4 linked regions of the Saccharomyces cerevisiae S288C genome follow. The gene in region 2 interacts genetically with the main gene of each other region. Each region holds a gene or a part of one and is shown on either strand. Other genes may lie near its edges. The genes, in order: YOL057W, OTU2, YCR102C and PAU9.

Region 1 (5,193 bases), on a different chromosome or scaffold from region 2:
AACCCTCATCACGAACCATTTGAGCATTAACTTTAGCTGATTCTGGATCCAAGTAAAATTTCCTCACAAAAGAGTAATTGTCTCTATCCAACTCTATAACTAGCGGAATGCCGTTGGGAATATCGACATCTTTGATGTCTTCATCTGAGATACCTTCCAATACTTTCAGCAGAGATCTTACAGAGCTGCCATGCCCAACTATAACACACGATTCTTGACTGATTTTGTTGGCGGTAGACAGAACAACATTATTTAAAAATGGTTTCAATCTGACGACCACTTCACAAAGAGACTCACTTTCTGGCAGACGCTCATTAGCCTTCTCTTCGGGGCCGTATTTTAAGTGTCTATTGGGCTCCTTAAAATCATAGCCTGTGGAGGACCCCTGATCATTTTCCTCTTGGACCATTTCCAGGTTTAGGTTGACTTTAGGGGGTTTTCCGTTGTAATCTCTTCTGATATACATGTATTTTTCCTTACCGTATTCTTTCAAGATATCTGGCTTTCTTTGTCCTTGCCATGCGCCGTAATGACGCTCATTTAACCTCCAGGTTTGCAACACAGGCATACTTCCTTCAAATCTTGTGTCCTGCAGCTCCTCCTTAATGTTTGTATTCGTAGTAATTACATAATTGGTGTGTTTTAGTCCCAACTCTTCGAGAATAACGTCCATGGTCTGCTGAGTTCGAATCAACCTTGAAGTATAGCCAATCTGAGGCAAAGAGATATTGTTAGAATCGCAAAACTGCTTGATCAATTTTGCAGAGTGGCGGGCCTGAGACTTCCCTTTTTCCGTTAATTGAGCATCAATCCATCCGCAGAATATGTTTTCTGAGTTTAATTCACTTTGACCATGCCTTAAAATAAACAGTTTAAAAGTGTCAGTAACAGTCATAACTATTCGTTATTAGTAGATCTTTTTGCACTATTTCTCAATCCTCTCAAAGAGACTTTTATTGTAAATCCTCGATTGCAGGTTGTTTTATCACATATGTATAAAATGGAAGCTTCTATTGTTTTATCGAACTTGTCAATGAAATCTCGCATTGTTATCATCTCATAATACAAATCTGAAAAAAAAAGTTAAAAAACAAAGGAAAGTCACACAAAACTAGCAAAAGTAACAAATCAAAATTCGCTGACAGTTAGTGCTGTCGTATCCTGTCACACTTACATAATATATATCTGTTTACATAATCTAATAGCTTGAACAAAAGCAACAGCAAAGGTTGCTAATTAAAACGTGTGCTCTTAAGGACATCATAATTCTCTATCAAGGAAAGATTGGAGCATACCCTGTGGGGTTTCATCATATTCTTTCAGGGTTACCTTGTTATTGTCGTCAATATAAGAATTCGATTGTATGAATTGTCTCCTTGGCAATCTCTTAGATAAGACGATGTCTCTTAAAGACGCCAAATCCGGTGTCACCGTTGATCTATCAATAAAGTACTTACTTCCCTGTTCCACATCGCCTGAACATTTGTAAACATGCAAATGCTTTAAATAGTCTTTCACACATTCATGTCCCGCTGTTTTAATGAGAGATTTATCCAACTTGATGGCAAAATCATCATTCGTGCTGTTCATCTCCAACTTTAAGAAATTCTTATCTGTAGAGTGCTTCATAAATGTTTTCATGATAGAAAATCTTGCTTGCATGTGTGGTTGTCCCCACTTACCAGTTTTTGGATTCCAGTATTCTAAAGCTAGGAGACCCGCACGGGCCATTTGTAGATATCCAGCGTAGATCACTTTATCTTGAGATTCGACATCATGGAAACCAAAAATATCAAGAATCTTCTTATTAGTAAGCAAAAACATGGCAATTACTTCCGCACGACATTCTTCAAATGGGCCAGCTAACTGTCCAAATTTGGAACCCCAAGTTTCACCAACTTTGTAGTATGTGCTCACCGGTTTCCCATCCAAACCTAAAGGAGGGTTTTCCTTATCAAAATTAAAGCCGTCTGTAAATTCTGTCAACAACTTTCCTGAACCATGTCCTAATAATTCATGGATGCCTACTTGGACTTCAAAAGAATCACTTTGATATTTTTCAAAAATTGGGCGATCTTCTTGCGATATAAAACTTGGCGGATGCTTGGATGAGCTTTTGGCAGCCGCGCTTAAGATATTCCCCAAAGAAACATTCTTGAACCCAATTTTAAGCCGAACATCATCATAGTTTGGAATATTGATGCCCGCTGGTATACCCGATCCAGTAAACGTTAATACTTCTAGAGAGGTGAAATCTGGTGGATTGAAAATCGGTTTTTCGTAATCTTTAGACCATGGTAGTAAGGAAATGAATTCTTCTGCGTTGTTAACCAAGCTGGAAAATTTAGCAGTACGTTCTTTGTTTTGAATTGCAACCAACGATTCAAATTCTCCAATTATGCCCGAGGGTTCTCTATATGTTTCGATAAAACCGATATTTGTTTCAATGACGGGAGATATATCTTTGACCCAAAGTTTTTGTGCTTCTTTATGTGCTTGAGAAGAGCCAGTGACAAAGTGGTTGATGTATTCCTGAAGCATTGCTTTTTGAGTATCATTAGCCGCGAATTTTTGAGCTTCCTTTAAATACGATGCTACTAAACGCATTTCACGTGAATGATCACCAAAAATGAATTCTACTTTGGTTACAGCATTGGATAATGTGATCTGTCCACTGGGGTAGGTTTCTGTTATCTGGTTTTTCACATTCTCAGAGGCAACCCAGATTTGGAAACTGTTTTCACCAACTTTGTTGATTCTTGTGTTTTCAGGCAAGATGGCAAGTTCAGCAAACAACTGCTCTTTCAAAAGAGCCATATCTTCAGGTGTCACAGGTAAACCCAGATAATAGGCTGAAGTATAACCTTGAGAGGGAAACCCTAAGAGAGCCGCCTTCTCTTCCACATGGTAAATACCAATATCAATTAGCTCATTGATGGTGGAAAAAAGATGATGAGATGTGAATTCATGGTTAACGTCAACAGGAGATAAAGTGAGCGGAGAAGAACACGGATTAATCTTGGCCAGCTCCAAAAGCTGTTTGAAGAATTTTACCTCACAACGAGGAATAAACTTAGTGTCACCAAACGATTTGAAATTACCCAAATTAGATAAGAATTGAGAAACGTATTCCAAATACAAACCCGTTTGCTGCTTCTGCGTAATATCGTCCTCTGGGTACTTGCCGTTTAGCTTTGAATGAATGGCAAGGATTAGGTCAAAAATTGGCTCACTCTCATGAGAAACTTGTCTCATTACAACCCTTGAACCCGCATGGGAGGCCTTTGACATGAAATGCGCATATTTTTGTTCCTTATCAGTCAATTGAGGAAAGTATTCTGTTTTAACAGAAAGCATGCTCAGAGGAGCATCATGATCGGCGAAAAAGTGGCTCATCTTTGAGGACTTAATGGTGCAGTGCTCAGTTTTTTTTTTCTTCTTTTCAATGTTCTGTTCTCATGAAGGTATTTTTCCTTTACGATATTGGGATTTTTCGCTACGTCAACTTATTCCGAGCGGCTATGCTCTTAGCTATTTTTTCTTCTATTCAAAATTGGTATGATGCTTTCTTAAACTATTTATACAAAAGCTTACATATGTCTACATATGTATTTACATCACAAGAGTGTGCAGAAATAGGAGGTGGAGGAAGAGATCGTTATCTATCTTGAGGCGATGAACTAGCGGACTTACAAAGTCAACTCTTCACCTTTGGTTTTTTTGGATTCACCGTATTTTTTAATTCTAATGGCCTGGATGGCAATGAAACCGGTGGTATCGGTAGGTAAGAAACCGGTCAACTCATCCATAGAGGATTCTGTCGGATCGTACAACTTTTCAGTCTTTGTAGATCTGCCCAGAATGATGACGTTACCCTTATACAGTCTAACCCTGACAGTACCGTTAACGCTATTTTGGGATGGTTGGATCATAGATCTGATGTACTCACACTCTGGGGTGAAGTAGGAACCGTTATATATCAATCTGGAGTAGTTTGGTGTGACGAATGAGTCTCTCAATTGACGGACTTCTTTGTCTAAAGTCAAACCTTCCAAATCAACATGAGCTTTTCTCAAAACAGTCAATGGAGCCTGTTCGTAACAACCTCTGGATTTCAAGTTAATGTAACGATCTTCTACAATATCGATTCTACCAACACCGTTGGCCCTTGCTAAGTTGGATGCGGCCAAGAAAACATCCAAAGGCTTGGTAACGGAAACTTCCTTGGAAGTCTTGTTGTCGGTGTAGGTCAACTTGACTGGAAGACCACGTTCAAAGTCAATGGTCAAATCTTGTGGTTGGTCCGGAGCATCCATTGGATCGACGATCAATTTCCACATGTCCTTTGGTGGGGTGGTATCTGGGTCTTCCAAGATACCTGCCTCGTAAGAAATGTGGGCTTGGTTTTCGTCAGTAGACCATGGCTTGGCCTTGGTTTGGGCGACGGGAATACCCTTTTGTGCAGCATAGTCTAACAAATCCTTTCTGCCAGCAAATCTTTCGAAAAATTCAGGCATTCTCCATGGTGTAATACACTTAACGTCTGGCTTCAGAGCGTAAAATGACAATTCGAATCTGATTTGATCATTACCTTTACCGGTACAACCATGAGAGACCGCGAAACAGCCCTCCTGTTTAGCGACGTCAATTTGGGCTTTGGCAATAACAGGTCTTGCCAAAGAGGTACCCAACAGATAAACGTCTTCGTACACAGCGTTGACCTGTACAGCTGGGAATAGAATATCCTTGACAAAATCTTCACGACAATCCACACAAACGAACTTGCAGGCACCGATCTTCAAGGCCTTTTCCTTGGCGGCATCGAAATCTTCTTCTTGCCCTACATTAGCCATGAAAGCTACAACTTCGTAGCCTTGGTCTAGTAGCCAAGCCAAAATGACGGAGGTATCTAAACCACCAGAATAAGCCAAACAAACTTTTCCCTTAGACATTATTTTATGCAATTATGTGTATTTCTTTTGTATCCGTGTATATTAGAACAATGTTCCTTATCGCTGCACAATGGGGAGACAAGATACAAGAAGTAAAGAGAGAGAGAACTGTGGGCAAGAACAAGGGAGTACGAATGTATGCCCATTAATATACTATTGAGACAGTGCCAGTCTGGGTCTCGCAACTGCTCAGATTACACTATCTGCCGCTACGCAGTCATCAATCTGATCCAATGAAGAT
Region 2 (8,656 bases):
GTCGGTATGGACACTGTTGACATGATAGAACAATATTGGAAAACAGAATTCCTCATCACAGATACTTGGCCTAGTTTCGTTTACTTCTTGGTCTTCGTCATTTTCGCATTCTTCTGGAGACCTACAAGTACATCATATTTACTAGCGTGCTCGCATCAATTACCAACTGACATGGAAAATGTATCAGAATTCGATTTAGATGACATAAATTCCTTGTCTGATGAGGCATTGCCTAATAGAGAGCCACGTAATGACTACCAGGAACACGATCACAATATGGATATTGATTTAGCATCCGATTTTGAAGAAGTGCCAAGTGTAAATGCAAATACGAACGCAAATAATGACGTATTGTTCGACGTAGATTACGACAGAGATGCAAAAAATGATAGAAGTACTACATAAACGGACCAAATAACATAAATTTAGAAATTTCCTTTTTTTTTTTTTTTTCCCCTTGACTTTCTTTTCTTTTATGTACCTATAATGAAAGACTATTTTATAATTAGAGCTATTTAAAAATTATTAATGAGGTTGATGAGTGGATAGAATATTATATTTTGAAAGCTAAATTATTTCATCAACTTGTCCGAAATGTGATGATTGTCTATGTGCTCTCGCACTAATTTGGCTTGTTACTACATGCAGATCTTGTGGGTTCGAATTTTGCCATTCCCTTAATTTATAAGTTTGACCAGATAGATCCCAGTAAAGGCCTCGCAAAGTGGTATATATACCATGCCTACCTTCCCAGAGTGGATAAATACAAACGGCAAACGCACTGAAAAAAAGCCAGATGATCATCACAACAACCCAACCGGTAAAGAATTTTTTACTGAAGATATATTTGGAACCATACATGGGCATGGGCCAAACTACCAAAAATGCCAAAGCGAAAAAAACACATAGGAAGTATGCAATTTTTAAACCACGTGCTAGTTCTCTTTGTTCTTCGTCTAATTCATTTTGTAACTGTGTGTCATCTTCTTGAAAAATGGCATTACTTATTACAACACCAAGGTTAGGCTCAATCAATTTTTCATTATTTACTCTAACATCGTTTTTTTCACTATCTGAGACCAGAGAATTTGTTTCTTCTTCTTGTTCCTTATCGTTAGCTTCAGCATCGTAAAGCTGGATATCAGGGTCAGCCTGAACTAACTCTGCAGTTTCGTCAACTCTAGTAATATCTTTCATTTTCTCCCAGTCAAAATTTTGTGGCTTAAACACATACGTTAAAATAGGAATAAAAATGGCTGGTGATAGCAAAGCCACCAAGTTACCTGTTAACATTGGATAATCCATGAACGTAGTATCCACGGTCAATTCTTTATAAAGGGATTTGGTACAGACAAGCCATGACATTATAGCCAGTCCTGTGCCCAAAATAGGCGACACTACAGCGGCCACCAAATTCATGTCTTTGGAACATAAGGTCAAAACGACAGGTAATACTGCACTACTAATAATTATACCCATCATTTCATAGATATAACCCATAGAAATACCACCATAGTATAAACCAACCGAAAATCCACTCATGGCAAGACCAAAAAAGATACAAGCAACGTGTGATGTGTAAATCAATTTCTTACCGCTTGCACGAGGATCAATATATTCTCTATAGATATCGTAAGTGAAAACAGATGAAACGGCAATTAGTTCAGCAGACATAGCAGATGTGACGGCCATGAAAATCATTAGCAGCGATGCCACAGCACCCCCCTTACCCATGATAGCAATTGCAGCTGCCGGCAAGACTAACCCAGAATTTGCCTGGAACGAAGTAAGTGGATCAGGATAGGTGGGGAAGTTCGGAGACGTTTCCACCGCAAGACATGCTAATCCCATGGTCAATGAAATCAAAGAAGGTACTGCAAACCATGCTAACCCACCGATGGCATATGCTTTCAAACTCGCTGCGGGACTAGCAGAAATCGCTTTATTCCAATAACCATTATCAAGGAAAACGGTGCCGAAATTTCCAATCAGGTTAATAATTAATAAAATACCAGCGGATTTGGATGTCATGGTCATATATTCACCCTGATAGTTACCGTCTACTGGATGCCTCTTGGCGGCTTCACGAACTAAGTCATAAACTTTTCCCGGTGAGCCTAAAACATCACTAGTCGCATAAACTTTAAAGGCAAATACGAGGACAATGATGATAATGACACATGTGTGCATATAGTCCGTTAAGAAAGTTGCTTTAATCCCACCAAATAGAGTATAAACAACAACACCCACAGGCAGTAAAAAACATGATGCGATAGTGTTCATCCCGGTTAAATCACTAAAGACAGCAGAACCTGAAGTTAAAAGCATTGAAGTGACTAAAATATTCGTCGCGATGGCATAAAACAAGTAGCAACCATGGCCGATCTTACCATATCTTGTTCTCACTAATTCTAAATATGTGTGCGCATTGGGAGCCATTTGCTTGGTTTTAATTGCCAAAATTGCGAATGCAATAATTTGGAAGCATGCGCCAGCAGCGTACGCATAACCGCCAAATATACCGTCTGCATATTCCTTTGTTGACGACGTTAACAATGTAGAACACCAGATCCAACTAGAAACCACGGCTGCAGCCACTAAGCCGGTTTTTACAGATCTACCGGCGGTGGTGAATTCTTCTGCTGTGATGATTTCCTTTTGATAACGTTTCAGTAAATAAGTGGTCAAAACCATCATTCCTGCAAATACGGCCCCTAGGCCCAATACAATAGCGTACCCAGCGCCTTGAGGTAGCGGAGGTTTAAATTCTCCCATACTATAACAATGACAAATTTATGTTATTACTTTTTCTTGGATGAACCCAATTTAAGAATCTAGACAAGGGAAACTGCTAACAATAGTAAAGCTACGGCTATACTACTGCTTCATTTTATATACTTGGCGAACAAGACGTATCTTCATGCAACACCGATGAATAGAGCACATCTTGCCTGTTATCTAAGGATAACCGTACCGTAGAAAGCGCAATGATGAGTTACACCTTTCCCATAGGTACGCCTGCTTGTTTCTATGCTGCAACTGACTATTGGCCTGTCCACTCTCGAGCATTATTGTCTGTCGCATTTGCTATCATAAAATATCCCGATAAGATAACACCCAAATGTGCGCCGCCTCATTTCATCATCGGAAAAAAGGTGCGGCACCAATAGATAAACAGAATTGGAATGCCTAGTTTGAGTCAGCCTTGCTGCATAAAACAAATACCTGTATGACTGCTTTTGCATCTTTAAGAGAACCTTTGGTCTTGGCTAATCTCAAAATTAAAGTTCATATCTACCGTATGAAGCGCTGATAAAGAGCGCCAAATCTGCACCTTGTGCATTTTGTTCACACATTCTTGGCGCTCCTAACTGGAGAAACGTCTATCATTGAGGATAACTCCGGATAGTCGCATTCTGATTGAATAGCCGTCTAGCTCCCTATTGTGACTAGAATACTATTGACATCGTTTTCTCATCAAAACCTCCCGATAAAGGGAAAAAAAGAATTATCTGACCAGATCATTCGGAAAAATGCGTATCGTCATTGATATCCTTCTTGTCTTGTCTGCTGCTAACACTATTTACTATGGAAAGAGAGATTTCCCTGAAACTTCTTATTTTTATCTCTATAGAAGGGGAAAAGATAAAAGTAAAAATGTAAAAATGTTTACCTGCAAGTTCACACCTGTACATTTTCTACATCCGTAAACATAAGAGAAAAAATGCCACAACTATTTTTATGAAGATAAAGTTCGGGTAACGATAATGTTTTAATTTTGAAAAAAAAACTTCGACGCATTCGCGACTAGCCTCAGAGATTGAGTAATAGACCGTATTGAATTCAAAATAATAGTAAAGATGGGTTATTTCATTCAAGCTCAGCTTTAGATTGAAACTCCTACAAGAAAGCAAGTAAAATAAACAAAAAGGTATATACAAAATGTCTGACTTTCAAAAGGAAAAGGTTGAAGAACAAGAACAACAACAACAACAAATCATCAAGATTAGAATCACTTTGACCTCCACCAAGGTTAAGCAATTGGAAAACGTCTCTTCCAACATTGTCAAGAACGCTGAACAACACAACTTGGTCAAGAAGGGTCCAGTCAGACTACCAACCAAGGTTTTGAAGATCTCCACCAGAAAGACTCCAAATGGTGAAGGTTCTAAGACTTGGGAAACCTACGAAATGAGAATCCACAAGAGATACATCGACTTGGAAGCTCCTGTTCAAATCGTTAAGAGAATCACTCAAATCACCATTGAACCTGGTGTGGATGTCGAAGTTGTTGTTGCTTCCAACTAAGCTGGTTCTAACTGGAAATAATTTCCATTAGATTCCTCTTTTTCTCGTCCATTAACCAAAATATATTATTGAATTCAGCGGTTCCTTTTTTCTCATTTTCGCATATAGCTGCACTATTAGAATCAGCCCACTCTAGGTAAACACAGTTCCTCGATATACCTCTGTCTTACTATCAGTGGTTAAACCTTATGCAAATATAATATATATATATATATATATATATATATCTCATACTTTTGTTGATTCTTGTGTAATTATTGGAAAAGACAAAACAAAGCAAGCGTTTCTATTCATATTTACAAGTATTTTTTATGACAAACTATTTCTTAATTTTCCCACCGGCGGCTTTGAATAAGGCAATGTCATTGTCCTGCATAATATATTGTTTGCCTGCACGTTTGATAAGTCCCTTAGATTTTAGTAAAGACTCATTTAGCGGTGGTTCCATCTTCTTCAGATCGTCATATTTTATTACATCAGCGCTGATAAATGTTTCACGCAAGTCGCTATGGATTACACCCGCGGCCTCTTGAGCGGTGGTTCCCTCCCTTATATTCCATTGGTGAACTTCTTGTGGGCCGCATGTAAAGAAGCTAATTAAGTTCAACAACTTTCTCATTTCTAGTATTATTTGCGGTATCGCAGAAACTAACTGTTGATCAGAAACATTGGTATCTTCCTTGATCTTGTCAAAATACTCTGACGCTATGCCTTTACATTCCATCAATTGCGATTCAAATTCTGCACTGAAAAGTAGGAATTTATCTCCTGGCGAAAATTCGTTAATCCATTCTATAATATTTCTGACAAATTTATTTTCATTCCTAACGTAATCTTGAGGTGAAACATTTAGCAATATCAAAGTTGGTTTGGAGGTTAAAAAGTTATGCTTATTCAAAATTTTGACTTCATCCAGGTTCCAATGATCTTTGAAATGCCGGATTTTTTTACCGTTAAACAAATGTTCCTCTAATGCATCTAATAATTCTGTCTCTATCTTCATTTCCTGATGTTCTTTAGAATTCTTCGAAACCATTCTCATCTTCTTACTAAGTCTTTCCCTAATGTTTTCCAGAAATTCTAAGTCTTTCAAGATGAGTTCATCTTGTACCACGGATAGATCTCTGACAGGATCAACATTACCTTCTATATGGGTGATGTCTTCCTTTAAGAATCCTCTCACCACTTGAAATATCCCCTCTACGTGTCTGATATCGTTTAAGAACTTGTTACCCAAACCATGGCCTTGAGATGCGCCTCTGGTGAGCCCAGCAATATCATATATTGTGAGTGTTCCAGGTACGCATTTCGCACTCTGATATATTCTCAATAAATTAGAGAGCGGCACGCTAGGTATATTGACTTTGGCACATTCTGCGTCAATGGTAGCGAATGGATAATTTGCAGGATTTCCCAATTTTGAGTTTGTTATTGCTTGGAAAAAAGTCGATTTACCAACATTAGCAAGCCCTACTATCCCTGAAGTTGGATTATTCGATATCCTCCCAAGTAAAAATTTTCCTCCACCAATGTTCATATCCGATTATTACTTCTCTTTATTCTTTTATATCCATATGCTTCAAACTATACAATTAAATAGATGCATTAAGGTTTACAAATAAGCATATCTCATTAGATACGGATGGGAAAAATCAAGAATCATGCAATGAATTATAATGCTCACCTAATGCATAGCTGTGTTTATAGTAAACTAGCTTCAATTCAGGATTTTTCCCACATTCATTGTACACTTGAATAGGTCTTCCACTCATCAGAATGCTAATGGGGCAGTCGAAAACGTGAGAGAGAGCCAAAATCTCAATTTCACCACCCCATTGAGCTGTATGCTCCATCTCTTTCGTATACTCATCAATGTCTTTCATCTTCATAGTTTCTTCATCAAACAAATATGGAATGAAATCATCCCTGTGCTCCTGTACGTAATTACAACTCAACCATCTCAGCTTCATGACATCCATGTCTTGATCCAGTTTTTTTGGATCATGGCGTAATTTTAACTGATCTAATATAGATGCAAAGAGACAGTGGCCATCGGGTTGTATATCGAATTGTTTCAGTTTCTTCAACTCGCATAACTGATCTATAGACTCCTGCTCCATTTTTTTCAAGTCCGGTTGTTTGGATGCTTCTAAAGCAGCCTCTTCTTTCATTTTAGCAATTGCTGCATCTCTTTTGGCCAATCTTTCCTTTTGTCTATTGCGACGCTTCTTTGTCTGGCCTTGTTGCTGTTGTTGAACGGGAACATTCTGTTGTTCTTTCTCATCTCGAGATATGGATAGTTGTTCTAAAAGTTTTTCAGGAGTCACTTCATCTTCTTGTTCTGCGTCAAACACTTCATTATTTGCAATTTTCCAATCCCTTATTTCATTTTCTTGCTTAGTCTTTAGTTTATCTTGAAGATCTAGGCATTTCGAATTAACTTCTTTCCTTTTGGATTTAGTAGCCTGCTTTTTCATACCCGTTATCTTATTCTGTAAATCTTTATTTTCCTTGCGATGTCTCGCCAAAATATCTTCCATGTTTTCCAAATTCTCTCCTGATTCCATGCCGGTCATGATGAATATCTCTTGTTCTCTCTACTAGATTGAATGCTGTGCTTTAGTTGGATTTTGTATTAGATGCTTTCGAGATGCCCAAACTAAAAACAAGGCGTGAAGAAAAAGAAATTTCGCGACGCATAATAATACTTTCTTTGACAGGGCCAGGGCTGCCAACTTTTCAGATTTTAACAATTGAGAAATTTATTGTGGTAAGAAAACCATAAATTTCCACTCTGTTGGAATTAAAATTTCCTGTATTGAACGAGAGTAGAAGCACACAATTTTCTTGAAGAAAAAGTAGTTAGTCTTCCATAATGTTCAATGGCCTTATCACACAAAAAAAAAAGAATGAAAGTACTATCAGCTTATAAGTCCTGATTAATTAAAAAAAGAATGCAGGAATAGCACCTTATAGTAAAAAAAGTAAATTTAAGTAATTAAATATAACTATACTGTAACTTTTTTGAATTGTATTTTCCCTGGCATTTACAATCTTTTTGTAACCTGGAATTTAACGATAACTGACACAAGTGATTCTTGATAATAAAAAAAAAAAGGAAAAATATTTCACTGTTCTACATAGTATATACAAGATCAATGACGGTTTTCTCTGGAGTAAATAAAATAGAGTTTGAAGGTACTTTCGAAGGTATTGGAAAGGATGTTGTTATGTCACAAATGATAAGGGCCTTGCAGAAACATTTTCCTTCGATACGTGACAAGAATTATGAGTTTAGCCTATTTTTGCACATTTTTCAAAGATATGTCTTAGAAAATACTTCAATCACCCATGATCTAGTTTGTGACAAAATTAGATTACCGATAATTGATGAAGTGGTTGAACTCGATGATATTAAAAATTACGGTTTGTTAGAGGGTAAACTATTATCAAAGTTAGCTATTTTAAAATTAACCGGAAAGGCTAATCCAATCATTGGTAAAGAAAGCCCTTTATTCGAAGTAAAAAATGGGATGTCTTCATTGGATGTAATAGTTCGACAAACGCAAAATTTGAATGTACGATATAATTCAGACGTTCCTCTTATATTTATGACCTCGCTTGAAACTGAATCTCAAGTATCAAACTTCCTTGAAGAGCATTATTCTTCTAGCAAAGTGAGATGGAAAACCGTAGTTCAGTCAAGCTTTCCACAAATTGATAAAGATAGATTATTACCTATCGATTTACAAATAAATTCTCATGAAAATGATTTTTGGTATCCTTGCGGGACTGGTAACCTAACTGACACTTTGTATTTTTCAGGAGAATTGGACAAATTAATTGCTCAAGGAAAAGAGATTTTATTTGTTTCAAATGTTGACAATTTGGGCGCTACAGGAGATTTGAACATTTTAAATTTCATCATAAATGAAAAAATCGAGTATCTTGTTGAAGTAGTTGAAAGGACTGCAAATGTTTCAAACACTGGAGTGTTGGCAACATATAAAGGTAAACTACGATCGGTTTATTACAACTGCTTATCCAATGAAAGTGCAAGCACGTGTCGAATTGTCAACACTAATAACATTTGGATTGATTTGAAAAAGCTAAAGGTGCTAATAGAGTCTAATAGTTTAAATTTGCCAATTCATTCTAGTGAAAGTAAAATAACACACAAAAATGAAGAGATAGAGTGTCTTCAATTTAAGACACAGTTGGTCGATTGTATTGCCTTCTTTCCGAACAGTCGAGTATTGAAAGTATCAAGAGACAGATTTTTACCCCTAAGAACATGTAAGGACTTGTTTTTGTTGAAATCAACATTATATGATCTCGATTCAAATGG
Region 3 (8,883 bases), on a different chromosome or scaffold from region 2:
AGGCGGCACTTGGCGAACTACAATGGCGATTATATTCATGGCGATTATATTCATACAAAGGTAATGGAGGCCTCGGATAATGGACAATATTGAGAAAATCCTTATGCTTACTTCTCTTAATAAAAAATAGACACAGCCATTTATTATGCGTAAAAAAGATTACCCACTTGTCTTCGATGCGTGCTGCTGCCAATCAACCTTTTGAGCGGAACTTCGAGCTCGCAATGCGTCTGGAATGTTGCTAGAGACAGTCTTGGTTATCTGTGACATGTGTTTCGTTCAGGCGTGTGAGCATCTTCTTGTTCGATTTCAAAATTACCGCCTTGACTCGTGAAACTGGATAATTCGTTGGCGTTTTCATATAAGTCGTCTGATGGCGAAAACTTTTCCTTTACTTAGCATACAGCAAATATCCCCATTTGACGGATTTTTGAAAAATGAGCCCGCTAACCCAGAATGAACTGCATTACCAAGCATTTATGTAAACGTTCCGCCACCATCTTTGGTAAGGTATACTATTATGTTCTGGATTTAAGGTTGATTCACAATTTTTCATCACCAAAATCTGGTGGCATGCCTAGTTGTCTGGTTTCAGGCAATTTAGCCATCATAGAAAAGCATCCTCTGTCTTGAGTTGAGAAAATGTTACTCATAGAGCCAAACAAATAAACCCTGGAATTAAAATATAGTTTAAACACAACTTCATATTACACTGTAAATACATATCACAATAATAAATTAACGAAATAGTAAGACCTTATGTTTCTATATGACATCAGTCCCGAATAGTGTCAATTTTTTGTCGTCAGTGTCGAACATTTTTACTGTTTATTCATCATATCGTGAGGTATGTAGGCATCTTCTATTGACTTAAGCATGATAAAAGATTCACCCAAAACTGTATCGAAATATTGATAAAATTAAATTTCAAAGTCAAACTTGTTTTCAATGGTTGCTATTTTCTTACCATTCGAGCTCTCCCTCAGGATTTTTTCACATGGAATGTTCATGGCCTCAATTTCCATGGGCTTTTTGCATTTATCTCCTTTAATTAATTGTAATGGCTCTAATGATACAGTTTCGCCATTAGCTTTGTCACATATATCGGAAAGGGCAATCTGATCATAATCTGGTATACAGTCACCCTTTGCATCTCTAACAAATTCAGAAGAGCATTCGTAGTCGGATTCAGTACAACTGTCACAAGGTATTTCATGCAAAATCATATCTTTGAATGTCCTTTTTACCAAACAACGGGCGTCCTGTTTCCTCCTTTTATACATGTATTTGGCGCCATTAAGGCATTTCCCATCTGCCAAATTCCAGTCTTCGAAATCTTCCTCTTCACACGTTTTATAGTCAAAATGCAGCAGAAAAATCGATCGCATACAGGACACTTCTTGCAATATATGAGATGTTGGTGTTGTTTCCTTCTTGACTAGCCGTAGTAATGAGATGTCCGCTTAAAATAAATTTTGAGCCTGATCCATCTGGCGTTGTATTAATCAACTCTAATGGATGGATATAAAATAAAGCGTCAACAAGCTCATATTGATTCCATGTTCTACCTTGGTCCAAGGAAAAATAAAGTTTGGATTGTACATCACCATCTTTATATGAAGGAGACGGGATATATACAATAATATTTCCCAGATCACCAGTAGCATATAATCCAGAAGAATTATGGGCCACCCTCCATGTTAGACCACCGTCTCTAGAAATGAAAGTTTTTCGGTCCTTCCGATCGAATTCATTGTCATCGCCAACAGAACCTGTCATTAATATGATCCCAGCAGAAGGATTTGAAAGTTTTAGATTGTAAAAATAACCCTGAAGTGAACATCTCTCAGGCCTAGTGATATCACAGCCGAACGAATCGGCATTTTCTTCATCAACAACTTTCAAATTTGACCATGTGAGGCCGTTATCAACGGATATTTTGGTTTCTCCTCCGGCTATATTTTCAGTATAGTTTACTTGGTGATTAGAATAGTCAATGGAAGGATGAAACGATCCAAATATTGTCCCTTTCAAGAAATCAGGAAAAGTGAGCCTAAAATTTCCAAACTGATGGTTTGGTGTCCATTCAACAGGTGAGAATTTCAACCCTTGCGAATCTGATATGAAAATCTCTGAGAGATCTGGATCAGCATTTTCCTCATTTGTGATTTCTGTCGATATAAGAAGGATGATCCTTCCGATAGAATCTTCACGAATTTTAATCACTTTGACGTGCCGTAATTGAGTAGGCAGCTGTGCCTTTTGAAAAGTAGATGCATCATTGGATATCCAGATGTCCGTAGATGACATCTCGTTATGCCCGTCATCTTGCGTTAAAACGACCACATATGACTTCAATATCTTGTATTGAGTAACAATCTTATCTTTAAATTCATCAAAATCTTTAAACGTTTTGCCTCCATCACTACTGAAAGCCAACTGTGTGTAGGTAGCAGTTAAGCGATATTCTTCATCGTATTCACGGTTAGAGAACAAACAGAGTATCGAAGTATCATTACCAGTAAAGTCAGAATCCTTGCTAGACTTAATGAAATGACAGCTTTAAGTTGTTATATCGTCGTCTTTTTTCTTTTCCAAGGAAGGTTTAATTTTAAAAAAGGATTCCCATCATTGCTCAAGTAAATTTCACTTGGGTCATATAAAACGTCTGCGTCTATCATATAGCTATAGCAATTCGCAATAAGAAGTTCTTTGTTTCTAGGATGAGTAGTTATAAAACAGTCGCCATCTAAATATTCTTCTGATGAGGGTATAGTTAAAGCCCTCCATGACTCCCCACGGTCGTCGGTAATGTAGAATTTGGGTGATTCACATATAAAAGCGAAACCTCTTTCCTGTCCATGGAAAGGATCAACAGTAAATCTGAAAATGCGCTCTTCAATTTCTTTGACCGTTTCCCAATTTTCTCCAGCGTCGAAACTTATCCATACAACCCCCCAACCATCTAATCTGATAGAAGTGTTGGAATCATCAAAACTCACTAGATTAAATGATGTTTCTATAGGAGCCTCCGTTACTTTTGGGACAAATTTCTCTGCATTGAGTAGCGGAAGTAGTATAATTACCCAAAGAGTATATATGGCATGAAGTAATATCATAATTGAGGATCTCTTACCTTTTCTTAGTTCAAAGTTTTTTTTCAAAGCTCGGAACTTTATGCTACAATTCAATGACTAAAAAAAAGGTAGCGGATAATCTTTTGGTTGCAAATTGGCGGCATTTAAATATATTTTGGGTTGCAAGTATTCTAAAAATATTCTCATAATATTCTAAAAATATCCAGTCTAGGTAATTGCAATTATTTTGAGTCCGGTGACTTTGAGTTGACCATGTTCACTTCCTGTACAGCCATCAAGGTAACGTGTTTACCATCTAATGGAGAAAACCAAGAGATAAGACTAGAAACCTAGTTAGGATACTTGGATTTGCTAATGTCGCCAGTAGTACGATAATACCATAAAGATACGCTGTTGAACCTGATTTGTATATTTAAAGAATGGGAATCTTTAAGGGATCATAGTCTAGAATGGTATTCTGCAGAATAGATTTTAAATGGTGAAAACTTTCCCTCACTATGTCCAATTGATGCTTTTTAGGATGACGTTAGAATTTTATTCTGGTGAAGGCACTTTTAATATGAAGATTCGTTGAAGTATCAATAACCTTTTATTGGCATACCCTTACCTAACTGGTCTCTCTCACCTCGTGATGTTACGAACGCCACGATTATTCTCAAACTAGGTAAAGATTTTTTCTTCAAAATTAGTGGGAAAGACTCGACAGACCCGCTTACCAGGTATTCTTTCTAAACAATAGGGTTTACCAGTACCCCTGAAAATGATAATGCCCATGTGCGGCTGATCGCGTTAACTACGTATGCAGTTGAATCAAAGCCATACCACAGAAAATGGTACAAGAGCCCACTGGATAGAATAGTGCTGGCTATCAAACCAATATTTTCTTTCCAGCTCTTGGGGGACCTCTACTGCGTTATATCGTAGTTTCCATTCAGCCTGCTTATCGCCTTAGGAAAAGGGAATGTAAGAGGCAGAAAAGTGCGGCGCAATCGTTCGGACAGCGAGCCGCTATTATAGGTAAGAATTCTTAAAGAGCTTCGCCGGATATTATTACAGTGTATTAAATTTCGCCAAGTCTTTGCCAATGGAAATAGGTGCATAATTTTATGTGCTTGGTACATATGAGTTCAATAGATATGTAGTAGTTGGATAGTAGATAGTAAGGATATATAATCATGGAAGGGTGACGCACAACAAATCACATAATGAGTTATGATTTTCACTGTTCTCATCTGTTTCCCCTACAAGGCGTGATCAATAACAAACAATTTCATTAAAAAAAAAAAAACCAAGTCACTCTAACATACGTAATAACTGTGTATACAAAAGAAAAATAATATCTGTTCGTCATCTAGTTTAATACGGCAACTAGTTTTTCACCAGAGTTCTTACCGATTTTAATGTCTTCCAGGATACGAGGAACATCGTAAAGCCCGTTCTTATAGACCCTTGCTGGAATATGGTGAATTTGCCCATCACTAATCTTTGGATTGATGAACTTGACGAATTCGGTGGCAGCTCTCCTGGCTTCTGGGTCAGCAGGGAAAGTAATGCCACCAAATGGTACTTCATGGCCGCCTATTGAATACAGTCTTGTTCTGTCAATAGTGACATTTTGCCTCCTATTCTCCTTTTTGACGTTTTCTTCTGTCAAATTAGTTAATTCGACAACGGTAGCATCCTGTTTATCGGCCGCACATTTGTACACTTGTTGAAGCGTATTTTGATTCGCGACACAGTCGACTAAATACGAGATATTGTTGTACTTGTGTTTAATTTGTTCTACCACGTCAATATCATGGTAATCAAATAGTTGATCAGCACCATATTCTTTCAACAGTTTTTCGTGTTTCCGAGAAGCCACAACAATGATCTTGGTGAAGCCATTCAATTTATTGGCTAATTGGATGAGCGACTGACCTACTGCAGTTGCACCGCCCCATAATAAGATGGGGCCGTTTCTTTGTGGGGTTGATGGCTCCCACTTCAGGTTCAAGCCCAAGTTATAGGTCAACACCAAGCCAGCTGTGGTCAGTGACACTGGGATAGTGGCTGCCCCTTCCAAAGACCTGACAGGGCCGGCAGGTAGAACATCTTCACCCAAAAATTTGAGTTCATTGGGTGATTTGTAGGCAACCACAGTTGAAATAGCAGAATATTCAGCAAAAGCACCATTGGAAGGAAACCTTACGGAAGATCCGTGAATGAACCCATAAATATAATCACCAATAGAAAAGTCTTTAGGATCGACGGCTGGGCCCAATTTGACAATTTGGCCGGCAGCGTCACATCCCAGAATAGATCCTTGAGGCCCGACCTTGTAGTCAATGTGTGCCCAATCAGTCGGGTTACCAGCAACAGCGAGTGTCTTAATCAATACGAATCCTTCTTCCAATTCAGGAATGGGAACGCCCTCTTTGACAACCGCTTTACCGTCTTCAATGACGACAGCCTTCATGGTTTCTGGAATTGCAACTTGCCTGTTTGTAGGTTATATGTAATTGTCGTTGATAATCTGTATTCAGCTTGCCATTTTATAGAATATGGTTAGAAGGATCTTAAGCTAGATAAAGAAAAAGAAAAAAATAGAAAAAAGCCTGCCCGCTTTATAAGAACTTTTCTCAATATCTGTTGAGGAACACTTAGTAATATTGTCTATCATGGTTGCTTTATTCTTGGTGATATTACTCTCTGGGATTCGATGTGTTCTCATCATCTGAAGGGTTTCCTATGTGTTGAAAGCCTATCCCACTAGACGGAGCCGCGCGCCAGCCGGGCGGATCCGAGACATCTTAGTCAGCTGAGACAAGAAAGGCACAGCTCTCGGACAGGAACTGCTGTCATATGAAAACCTAAAAATGTTTCCTGGAAATTCCATGACTGCGCAAAGTTTGATACGTTTATTGTTCTTCTCTACTACCGCACTTTCTATCTCGGAAACCTTTCAACTGAATGAACTATTGTTAATTGTATGGCGTGTGGCCTTGCTATTTCAGCAAATTTAGAGTAAAGTAAACTCCGTCGGACCAGTATAGTAACGAAACAAGCCATTGATTCTGCAGCATATTGCGACCAAAACCTGGAAATTGGTGGCTATGAGTTTTAATTTATAATTATATGAAGACAAAGCTTGGAATGCTGAGTACTTTTTCTTCAATGCTGCTCACTGCCCAGAAGCGTTCAGAACAACTCTACTGGAGCCATTCTGCTTGAAGGAGGATAAAAATGCCAAGATCAAGTCTTTTAAAGACTCTATCCCTTTTCATCGGAAAAGCACTACAAGTTTATTCTACAGAAGTGGACAAACTGTGGAACTTGATCCATACTGAGTAAGTATGGAAGACTGTTAACTTGGAGGATTTTTCTCTGCTTTCTAAAGAAGGTTCACTGCTTTACACTCACCTAGGTTCTCATGAGTATTGCTAGCTAGTGCGAGTTTGATCTATACTTCACAGACTTTTAACACCCCGTTCTTTAAGTTTTCCCTGATTATCAAGCGGATTTCCAATTCTTATTCCCCACTATCGCACCTTTCTTATCTGAATTGTATTTTTGAGTGGCCTAACTGTAATCTTTTATTTTGTTTTCTAATTATTGAAGGCGGTTTCTCGAAACATTTCACGATTTCCAAAATTCAAGAATTGAAATTATGAACATAGAAGACAAAATGCCTTTTTTATCAACTATTATGAATTCTCTAGAAAGTGGTTGCAAAGGAAATAAATATGTATTTGCTGAGAGGAAAAGTTTGGAAGAACAAAAAGTATTTCTTTGATGGAGCTGATTATCAAGCATTCTTTACGGGGAGCTTTCGAAATTTTTTATATTCAAGGACATTTATGTTGTGTGGGTTATTAAACGTGGGACTTTGGAAATACATCCAAGAAGCACAATTGAGCTCTAACGATGAACCGTTACCATAAAGATAGAGACATTTCTTTTGACTTAGAAGCTACATGGAGTACCAACTATTAATACACCTCTCCTAGAGAACATTTTTAAAATAGAATAAAATAAAGTAGCGCTCTCAACTACCCTTACACTTTTTTCCTTCATATCTGGCTAGAAAAGAGGGATTACATCTCGGAATCAAAGTTTTAATACTGCTACTACGAACTGGTTACAATTCTATTTTTATCATACACGATACTTTGAACATCAACTTCTCTCAATACCATCCGCCTTCAGCGGCTACAATTACGTAATTGCACCAAGGCATTCGCCGAGAGTTTACATATTTGCAGACCCTAACAGTATACGACTCCCAACACACGTTTAATGTTGTACGAATTCAAGAGATGGAAATATTTCTTCCGCGGAAGCCGTTTAAAGCAGACTGAATTTAGGCTTAGACAATAAGCTTCTGAACGAGGGTCCAAATCTAAAATTCGGATATTCTTTTTGACCGAAAGCGGAAACTTCACAGGCGCGCGTAAAAGGGTTTTTCAAGGCACCCCGGCACCCCTATAATTGGCATTCCCACATTCTGCGCATACGAATACACATGAGTGCCATAAAACAATACTCCACATACGAAACCTATGAAAGATGTATGATTCGTTCAGAAACAAGAGCATCTCCATAGAGATAATGAGATTGTGTGAAAGATGAGATATGGAGGATATGTGAGGTGCTAAATGAGCGTCTGTTAACGAATCGTTTAAGTAGTGATGACAGATGGAGGAACGGGTATAAATAGAGCTGCTTCAACTATATGCCTTTGAGGTATGCGCTTTCATTTCACTATTTCTTGTTAAGATTACATCAGCACTAACAAACAAAACAAATACAATGGTCAAATTAACTTCAATCGCTGCTGGTGTTGCCGCCATCGCTGCCGGTATTGCCGCTGCCCCAGCCACTACCACTCTATCTCCATCTGACGAAAGGGTCAACTTGGTCGAATTGGGTGTTTACGTCTCCGATATCAGAGCTCATTTGGCTCAATACTACTTGTTTCAAGCAGCTCATCCAACTGAGACCTACCCAGTTGAGATTGCTGAAGCTGTTTTCAACTATGGTGACTTCACCACTATGTTGACTGGTATTCCAGCTGAACAAGTCACCAGAGTCATCACTGGTGTCCCATGGTACTCCACTAGATTGAGACCAGCCATCTCCAGTGCTCTATCTAAGGACGGTATCTACACTGCTATTCCAAAATAGAGACATGCCTTTACTAATGAACTTCCATAGACATTGAAAAATAACGAAAGAATAAAAAAAAAATCTTTTTTTTTTTTTGATATAAATACAGTTGACTATATAAACATATATCAATACTATAAGCCTATATTTGATCAAGACGACATTATTTAGGTGCATCAACAACGGAAAAGAAACTTTCTTCTAGGCTATCCTTCTGGGGAAGCAGTTGAAAGTGCTATCCAGTATTATTGCATATATTCTTAATGAGTAGTGCTGAAGTTTGATACGTTTGGCTCTGTTGCTTTTATTTCTCCCACGAAAATAAATTGATTTCTTTATTTTTCAGTGTGTTGGCCCGGAGTTGTTTACACACATGTCTCTTTTTGGATTAATGCTGTAGATCAGGGACTATGCGAGCGACAAGTCAGAGTAACCATATTGAATTTTCGTCTCCTGTTATACGAATATTTGCATTTCTGTGCCTACTTATGTGTGTATATGTTTTTATTAGTCAGAAAATGGAGTAAGTGTTAAAGTAAGGATAGTGTTAAGGAGGTAATAACTAAAGATTTGTAGGATAAGGCGGTGTTATTTGTTGCAATTTTCTCAGGGGTGGAGTGGAAATGGTTTGATTCAA
Region 4 (7,764 bases), on a different chromosome or scaffold from region 2:
GTGAAAAGTACTTTATCTCAGTGGGTTTACGTGGGCATAGATCACGCTTCAGCCGCTCTGTGTCGACTTTCTTTTCGCCAGGTAAACTTGCTTGGTATGCAGAAAAAATCGATAGCTCATCTACGTGTAGTAACAAGAACATGTAGGGTGCCAAATTGTATCCATATTTCCTTATGGTGCTTTTCTGAAGACTCCTTACAATAGGTGTGCCAGAAACAAAGTCAGTGAAAGTACGCATCGTAGAGCTGTCGTTCGGCCTGGCACTCGCTATTTCGTAACAACGTTCCAGGACACGGAAACTCAACTCATTATAGTATCCTCTGTTGAGGTAAAAAAGAGAAAGGGTATCGTAATCCTTTCTATTGAATTTCAAAGTATGCACTTGAAACAACGTGTAGACCATCAAGTTGATTTTCTTGGGAATAAGATACTTTGAAGGGATTGGTCCGCCCTGGAAATCTGGTTCGTCTTCAACAAACGTCAGGAACTTTTGTACATTTTTCCCGACCATGACGGAAACGACAATTTTTTCAAAAGACCTTTTCCTATCCATTGCACCAGTTCTGAATTTTACCACTTTGATTAGACCAGACTTTTCGTCTTCGTAGAATGACCGCACTTCCGTGGGGATCGATTCAAATAAAGTTATTGAGGGACAATGTACCAAGTCGTTTTTGTTATTTAGAGCCGACTCAAACTCGTCAAAGTTTGCTTTTTCAAACTTACGCCTATCGGAAACTTTCATTTTATTTTTGTAAGTTTCGAAATTAACAATAGTATGTTGATTGCTATGCTTTTTGACAAGAAATCCATCAATATAAACAAAAGATTGTCCAGTTTCCGTCTTATCATCATCTAAGAATGTAATAATTAAGCTACTCTATTGAGAAGAAGCAGAATCTGCGCTATGCAGGTGCAAATCTCCAGCAGCAGCAAAGAAAATTCAGTTAATAAGAAATCTCACTAAGATAAGCGACTGTCTGTCCCCTTCAAGCACAACATAGAAAACAGAAGGATGTCTCATTCATCGCTTGATTTCCGGCCTGCAAAAATAAAGTAGTCGGTACGTACTTTCGTTTTCAATTTCCATGGTGCACAGTATCTTAACTATCTGCTTAGTCGAGGAGAACCAGGATTCTGTTCGTTGCTCAGCCGCTTCGTGGATATTCTCTTGGATACTTTAAACATGGACCTACGTTCCGCTCTCGAAAAGACCAATATAATAAAAAGTTATAAATTACATTTCCTTATTAGGTATACGACCTCGCGCTTCGAAGTAGAGGAGCCCTTTTTGGCGTACCTACATATGGCGCGTCAGACAGACAAACTTCCCCCAAAAATGTATTACCCCGCCGAATAAGAAAACAGACCCATTCACCCACGACGTATCAAGTTACTTCCTTGGTGCAATGTCCCACTATAAAAAAATTCCTTGACGCTAGATCGTTGGACTAAAATCTGCGTCACAATCGCCTAAACAGGAAATATTGCCTATTTTCGTACAAGGTTACTTCCTAGATGCTATATGTCCCTACGGCCTTGTCTAACACCATCCAGCATGCAATACAGTGACATATATATATACCCTAACACTACCCTAACCCTACCCTATTTCAACCCTTCCAACCTGTCTCTCAACTTACCCTCACATTACCCTACCTCTCCACTTGTTACCCTGTCCCATTCAACCATACCACTCCCAACCACCATCCATCCCTCTACTTACTACCACCAATCAACCGTCCACCATAACCGTTACCCTCCAATTAGCCATATTCAACTTCACTACCACTTACCCTGCCATTACTCTACCATCCACCATCTGCTACTCACCATACTGTTGTTCTACCCTCCATATTGAAACGTTAACAAATGATCGTAAATAATACACATATACTTACCCTACCACTTTATACCACCACACATCACATGCCATACTCACCTTCACTTGTATACTGATATGCCATACGCACACGGATGCTACAGTATATACCACTCTCAAACTTACCCTACTCTCACATTCTACTCCACTCCATGACCCATCTCTCACTAAATCAGTACTAAATGCACCCACATCATTATGCACGGCACTTGCCTCAGCGGTCTATACCCTGAGCCATTTACCCATAACTCCCACGATTATCCACATTTTAATATCTATATCTCATTCGGCGGGCCCAAATATTGTATAACTGCTCTTAATACATACGTTATACCACTTTTGCACCATATACTAACCACTCAAATTATATACACTTATGCCAATATAACCAAAAAATTACCACTAAAATCACCTAAACATAAAAATTATTTATCTTTCAACTTTACGAAATAAACACACTCAATTGCGTATCTATACCACCATGACGTCATTAACGTAAAAGTTCCTTAATATTACCATTTGCTTGAACGGATACCATTTCAGAATATTTCTAACTTTCACAGACCATACATTAGAATAATATGCCACCTCACTGTCGTAACACTCTATATTCACCGAGAAACAATACGGTAGTGGCTCAAACTCATGCCGGTGCTATGATACAATTGTATCCTATTTCCATTCTCATATGCTATCCGCAATATCCTAAAAGCATAACTGATGCATCTTTAATCTTGTATGTGACACTACTCATACGAAGAGACTATATCTAAAGAAGACGATACAGTGATATGTACGTTGTTTTTGTAGAATTATAATGAAACGTCAAATAACCCTACTATATTATAACTTATCAGCGCCGTATACTAAAACGGACGTTACGATATTGTCTCACTTCATCTTACCACCCTCTATCTTATTGTTGATAAAACACTAACCCCTCAGCTTTATTTCTAGTTACAGTTACAACAAACTATCCCAAACCATAAATCTTAATATTTTAGGTGTCAAAAAATGAGGATCTCCAAATGAGAGTTTGGTACCATGACTTGTAACTCCACTACCCTGATCTGCAATCTTGTTCTTAGAAGTGACGCATACTCTATATGGCCCGACGCGACGCGCCAAAAAATGAAAAAAGAAGCAGCGACTCATTTTTATGGAAGGACAAAGTGCTGCGAAGTCATACGCTTCCAATTTCATTATTGTTTATTGGACATACTCTGTTAGCTTTATTACCGTCCACGCTTTTTCTACAATAGTGTAAAAGTTTCTTTCTTATGTTCATCGTATTCATAAAATGCTTCACGAACACCGTCATTGATCAAATAGGTTTATAATATTAATATACATTTATATAATCGGCGGTATTTATATCATCAAAAAAAGTAGTTTTTTATTTTATTTTTTCATTACTTTTCACTGTCTATGGATTTTCATTCGTAAAGGCATCACTCCCTAGTTTGCGATAGTGTAGATACCGTCCTTGGATAGAGCACTGGAGATGGCTGGCTTTAATCTGCTGGAGTACCATGGAACACCGGTGATCATTCTGGTCACTTGGTCTGGGGCAATACCAGTCAACATGGTGGTGAAGTCACCGTAGTTGAAAACGGCTTCAGCAACTTCGACTGGGTAGGTTTCAGTTGGGTGGGCGGCTTGGAACATGTAGTATTGGGCCAAGTGAGCTCTGATATCAGAGACGTAGACACCCAATTCCACCAAGTTGACTCTTTCGTCAGATTGAGCTAGAGTGGTGGTTGCAGAAAGCAGTAGCAGCGATGGCAGCGACACCAGCAGCGATTGAAGTTAATTTGACCATTGTATTTGTTTTGTTTGTTAGTGCTGATGTAATCTTAACAAGAAATAGTGAAATGAAAGCGCATACCTCAAAGGCATATAGTTGAAGCAGCTCTATTTATACCCGTTCCTCCATCTGTCATCACTACTTAAACGATTCGTTAACAGACGCTCATTTAGCACCTCACATATTCTCCATATCTCATCTTTCACACAATCTCATTATCTCTATGGAGATGCTCTTGTTTCTGAACGAATCATACATCTTTCATAGGTTTCGTATGTGGAGTATTGTTTTATGGCACTCATGTGTATTCGTATGCGCAGAATGTGGGAATGCCTATTATAGGGGTGCCGGGGGGTGCCTTGAAAAACCCTTTTGCGCGCCTGTTAAGTTTCCGTTTTCAGTCAAAAAGAATATCCGAATTTTAGATTTGGACCCTCGTTCAGAAGCTTACTGTCTAAGCCATCATTTGGTGTGTCCTAAACGGTTTCCATGCAAAGCAACATCTTTGTTACTCATTCCTGAAGGTTGAATAAAAAATAGCAACCATGTGCAGGGAGTCGTATATTGTTAGATTCTAGAGACTTGTACGCATCATCAAAGCTGTAAATAGAATAAACATACGCAAGGCGTCAAAAGTGCATAGTTAAGAAAATTCCTGACATGTGAAAATATGTGTTTATGAAATGTGTCAAGGCCCGTCTATAGCGTAGTTAACCCCTCTGCAGGAGTAAGTGACTTTTTTTACGCTCAAAAGGCAACGAGGGCACATACTTAAAAGTCATTTTCAAACACATCTGCAGTTTGCAACGACAGATAACAATATTATGATAGGATGGTATGATGTTATTAGCTGCCACATATTTTTTAACATAGCATTAGTCACGTCTCTTCAATTGTTGGGATGAAACTCTAAAATATCATTCCTTTAGTAGTATTCCAGTTACCAGTATATTATCACATGCCGAAAAAGAAGATGACATAAAGATCGACAAACAGTCTTCAAATATAATGGAAGCTGGAATGCAAGGATTGATAATGTAACAGGATACTGAATGACAAAGTATAAATGAAAAAAAAAAAAAAAAAAAAGTAGTAATACTATTATGTGGAAATACCGATTCCATTTTGAGGATTCCAATTGTTGGAATAAAAATCAACTATCATCTACTAACTAGTATTTACGTTACTAGTATATTATCATATACGGTGTTAGAAGATGACGCAAATGATGAGAAATAGTCATCTAAATTAGTGGAAGCTGAAACGCAAGGATTGATAATGTAATAGGATCAATGAATATTAACATATAAAACGATGATAATAATATTTATAGAATTGTGTAGAATTGCAGATTCCCTTTTATGGATTCCTAAATCCTGGAGGAGAACTTCTAGTATATCTACATACCTAATATTATAGCCTTAATCACAATGGAATCCCAACAATTACATCAAAATCCACATTCTCTACACCAATACCATCGACGAGAGCTTCTAGTAAATTGTATACATAACAGTATAACCCTTACCAACAATGGAATCTCAAAGATTATTAAATTATTCACAGACTCTGAGGATTCGGGTAAAATAGGGTATTTAACTGGTTACCGGAAAGGTTTAGAAAATTCGTGGAGGGTTGGCCGAGTGGTCTAAGGCGGCAGACTTAAGATCTGTTGGACGGTTGTCCGCGCGAGTTCGAACCTCGCATCCTTCAGTATTTTTTTTGATGATTTAACGTACTATTAACTAGAATAATAGGGAAATGCAATTGCAGTTTGAGAAGAAGAATTATTAATAAGCCAAAAAGCGGCTCACTAAGTAAGTTTTTCTTCATGGCGTCCTTTGCATCCAGCAATAATGGTTTTAGCAAAAAAATCTCTTTCACTACACAAGTTGGAGCATATTTTTTAACAAATACAGATAAACGAAAGGCGATAATAAGTATACTTCCTATGTACAAGAATCTTTAAGTGATATAATCTTTCAGCGGACTAGAAGAATAGGGCGTTCAACTGTTGTCCTTGCAGAATTGCGTAAACTCCTTCAAGTAGTCATTATTTTGCTCGCAGTTTTGCCTTAAAATGCCCTCTGTTGTAGAAGTTAAAATTTGTTCTATTTTTCTATTATTTGCCACCCACTCTGTCACCTTCGTCCAATCCTTATATTGAGCTTCCTGTTTCTCCGCTCTTTCTCTTGCAGCGTAAGGATCAATTCTTGCGTCTATAAGTGGTTCCGCAGTAGTCTTTTTATTATTACCGCACTGCTGATCGGTCTCGTTCTTCATCTCTGCTGCCTCTTTTTCGCAAAATGAAATTATATTATTCCGTATTTGCCAGTTCGGATATAGTTCTTGCTTCAAAAATTCCTTACACTTATTTTTTCCATTAATAGAGCCTTTCCTATAGTTGTTTAATTTTTGTCTTATTATATCATCACTTCCATGCCTTAGAAACCTCAAAAATGAATCTATCAAGCTTGGATCAACACATCTTTCTCGCGTAACTGTGATTGTAGTAAGTGACGGTTCATCATTCGGAAAAGTAAGATTTGTTTCAAGTAAGCTTTGGGGTGCCGTAAACGTACGCCTATTATCAACCATACCGTCTTTTTGTCTACGTGTATAAATGAGAAGTTTTTTTTCTAACTATATCCAAGTTTTTCAAACTACCCAAAGGATATTTAACTTGGCGGACAAAATTACCGTCACGTTCAAAAGTGAATATATAGGCGATTCTGGGTAACAAGCAAAAGTAAACTACAATATGGAATAGTGTAAAACTTCACTTATCAACAACAAAATCGCTTCAAGCCTCCTATCTTAGAGTCTAGAGCCTGATAAAATTCTTATGCGAGCAAGGGCAACCTGATCGAATTTTATAAAAACTATTTATGGACTAAAAACCTACAGCGCTCTTCATCATATCCCTTCCCGTTTCTTCCATTGCGTCATTCATGGTTTGTCCCATTGTGGTTGCATAGTCATTAATAGTGGTTTCTACCGTGTCTAAACGAGTTTCAATTGCCCTAGAAACACTTTTAAGGACACCATATCCATTACTTCTTCCAGAGCTTCTTACAGGTCTGGCATACCTGTGATCTTCCGTACCGGGAGGTAACTTTCTGGCTGCATTACTACTACTGGAAGATATGCATCCTCGAGCAATTGCGCTTTCCTCATACTTCGATTCGGGCCTTTCTATACCGCCCAGTAGCTCATCAAGTTGATATGGTGTGCAATAAATAGTTCCTCTAGCCCATTGTAAGGAATTCACTTGAGGCCTATAACCAATCTTTAAATCAGGATTGTACAAGGTATCAATAGGAGTATGTTGTGATATGTCAGCAGTATGATTCGTTCCGGTGGCACTTTCATTAAGTACTGAAATCAAAGAGGCTTGGAATTTCCCTGTGCGAATGACAATGTCACCATTTTCTAATATAGATGAATTTTCAACGTATTGAGCGCTTAGAGGGACCGGGCAGCGTAGATTTTTGACTTCCTTAAGCTCAGGTACTGTCAAAACTTTAATATCTCCATTAATTAGCAAAACGATCATAATAGTTGAAAGCTTTCTTTCTCCTTTACCGTCAATAATGGGAATAAATGATAATCCACTAGTGGCAATTGGATACTTGAAAAGCGCATGAGTGTCCTTAGATTTACCTGGTGATACTAAACGAATGTCATTTGCGCCACTGATAGTAACAAATCCAGGTATTGCGATACCCTTGCTTAAACCCTGCATCTTTGATATAGTAGCAGAACAACTGTAGCCAGTATCTTTGGCAAAAGAATTTATTCCTAGAATTTTTCCTTGATTGTTGGTCTTTGTTGCATCAGTGAATTTAACCTCAAATCTTCCATTAGTTGCAGGCAGTATTTTGAAAGTCATCAATTCCCCGATATCCGTTCCACATAGCATCAAAATACTAGAGAACCCATCATCTCCATATTCCATGACGCAAAAGTGAACGGTTGAAACGTAAGAGCTACCAGCTTTAGAAATGACCCTAATATTTTCATTGAAGATTATAGCCGGGCCTCTTCTGTCCAATATTATTAAGGTTCCTTCAAT

The links.
Region 1: mutations in OTU2 (region 2) and YOL057W together harm fitness more than expected from each alone (negative genetic interaction), as found in Saccharomyces cerevisiae (one large-scale study listed by BioGRID).
Region 3: mutations in OTU2 (region 2) and YCR102C together harm fitness more than expected from each alone (negative genetic interaction), as found in Saccharomyces cerevisiae (one large-scale study listed by BioGRID).
Region 4: mutations in OTU2 (region 2) and PAU9 together harm fitness more than expected from each alone (negative genetic interaction), as found in Saccharomyces cerevisiae (one large-scale study listed by BioGRID).

What each region holds. Positions count from the first base shown.
Region 1 is NC_001147.6:218,970-224,162, reverse strand, and holds YOL057W (dipeptidyl-peptidase III), read right to left. Parts: upstream 3,397-5,193; coding exon 1,261-3,396; downstream 1-1,260. Other genes in the region: phosphoglycerate mutase family protein GPM3, read right to left, coding at 1-895; ARG1 (argininosuccinate synthase), read right to left, coding at 3,690-4,952.
Region 2 is NC_001140.6:71,470-80,125, forward strand, and holds OTU2 (deubiquitinase OTU2), read right to left. Parts: upstream 6,885-8,656; coding exon 5,961-6,884; downstream 1-5,960. Other genes in the region: YHL017W (uncharacterized protein), read left to right, coding at 1-405; DUR3 (Dur3p), read right to left, coding at 568-2,775; YHL015W-A (uncharacterized protein), read left to right, coding at 3,230-3,313; 40S ribosomal protein uS10 RPS20, read left to right, coding at 3,943-4,308; YLF2 (Ylf2p), read right to left, coding at 4,628-5,845; YHL012W (UTP--glucose-1-phosphate uridylyltransferase), read left to right, coding at 7,467-8,656.
Region 3 is NC_001135.5:299,912-308,794, forward strand, and holds YCR102C (uncharacterized protein), read right to left. Parts: upstream 5,557-8,883; coding exon 4,450-5,556; downstream 1-4,449. Other genes in the region: YCR099C (uncharacterized protein), read right to left, coding at 921-1,388; EMA35 (Ema35p), read right to left, coding at 1,360-2,310; YCR101C (uncharacterized protein), read right to left, coding at 2,571-3,119; seripauperin PAU3, read left to right, coding at 7,890-8,264.
Region 4 is NC_001134.8:4,265-12,028, forward strand, and holds PAU9 (seripauperin PAU9), read right to left. Parts: upstream 3,470-7,764; coding exon 3,341-3,469; downstream 1-3,340. Other genes in the region: YBL111C (uncharacterized protein), read right to left, coding at 1-745; MIX23 (Mix23p), read right to left, coding at 5,697-6,287; putative Rab GTPase-binding protein SRO77, read right to left, coding at 6,583-7,764.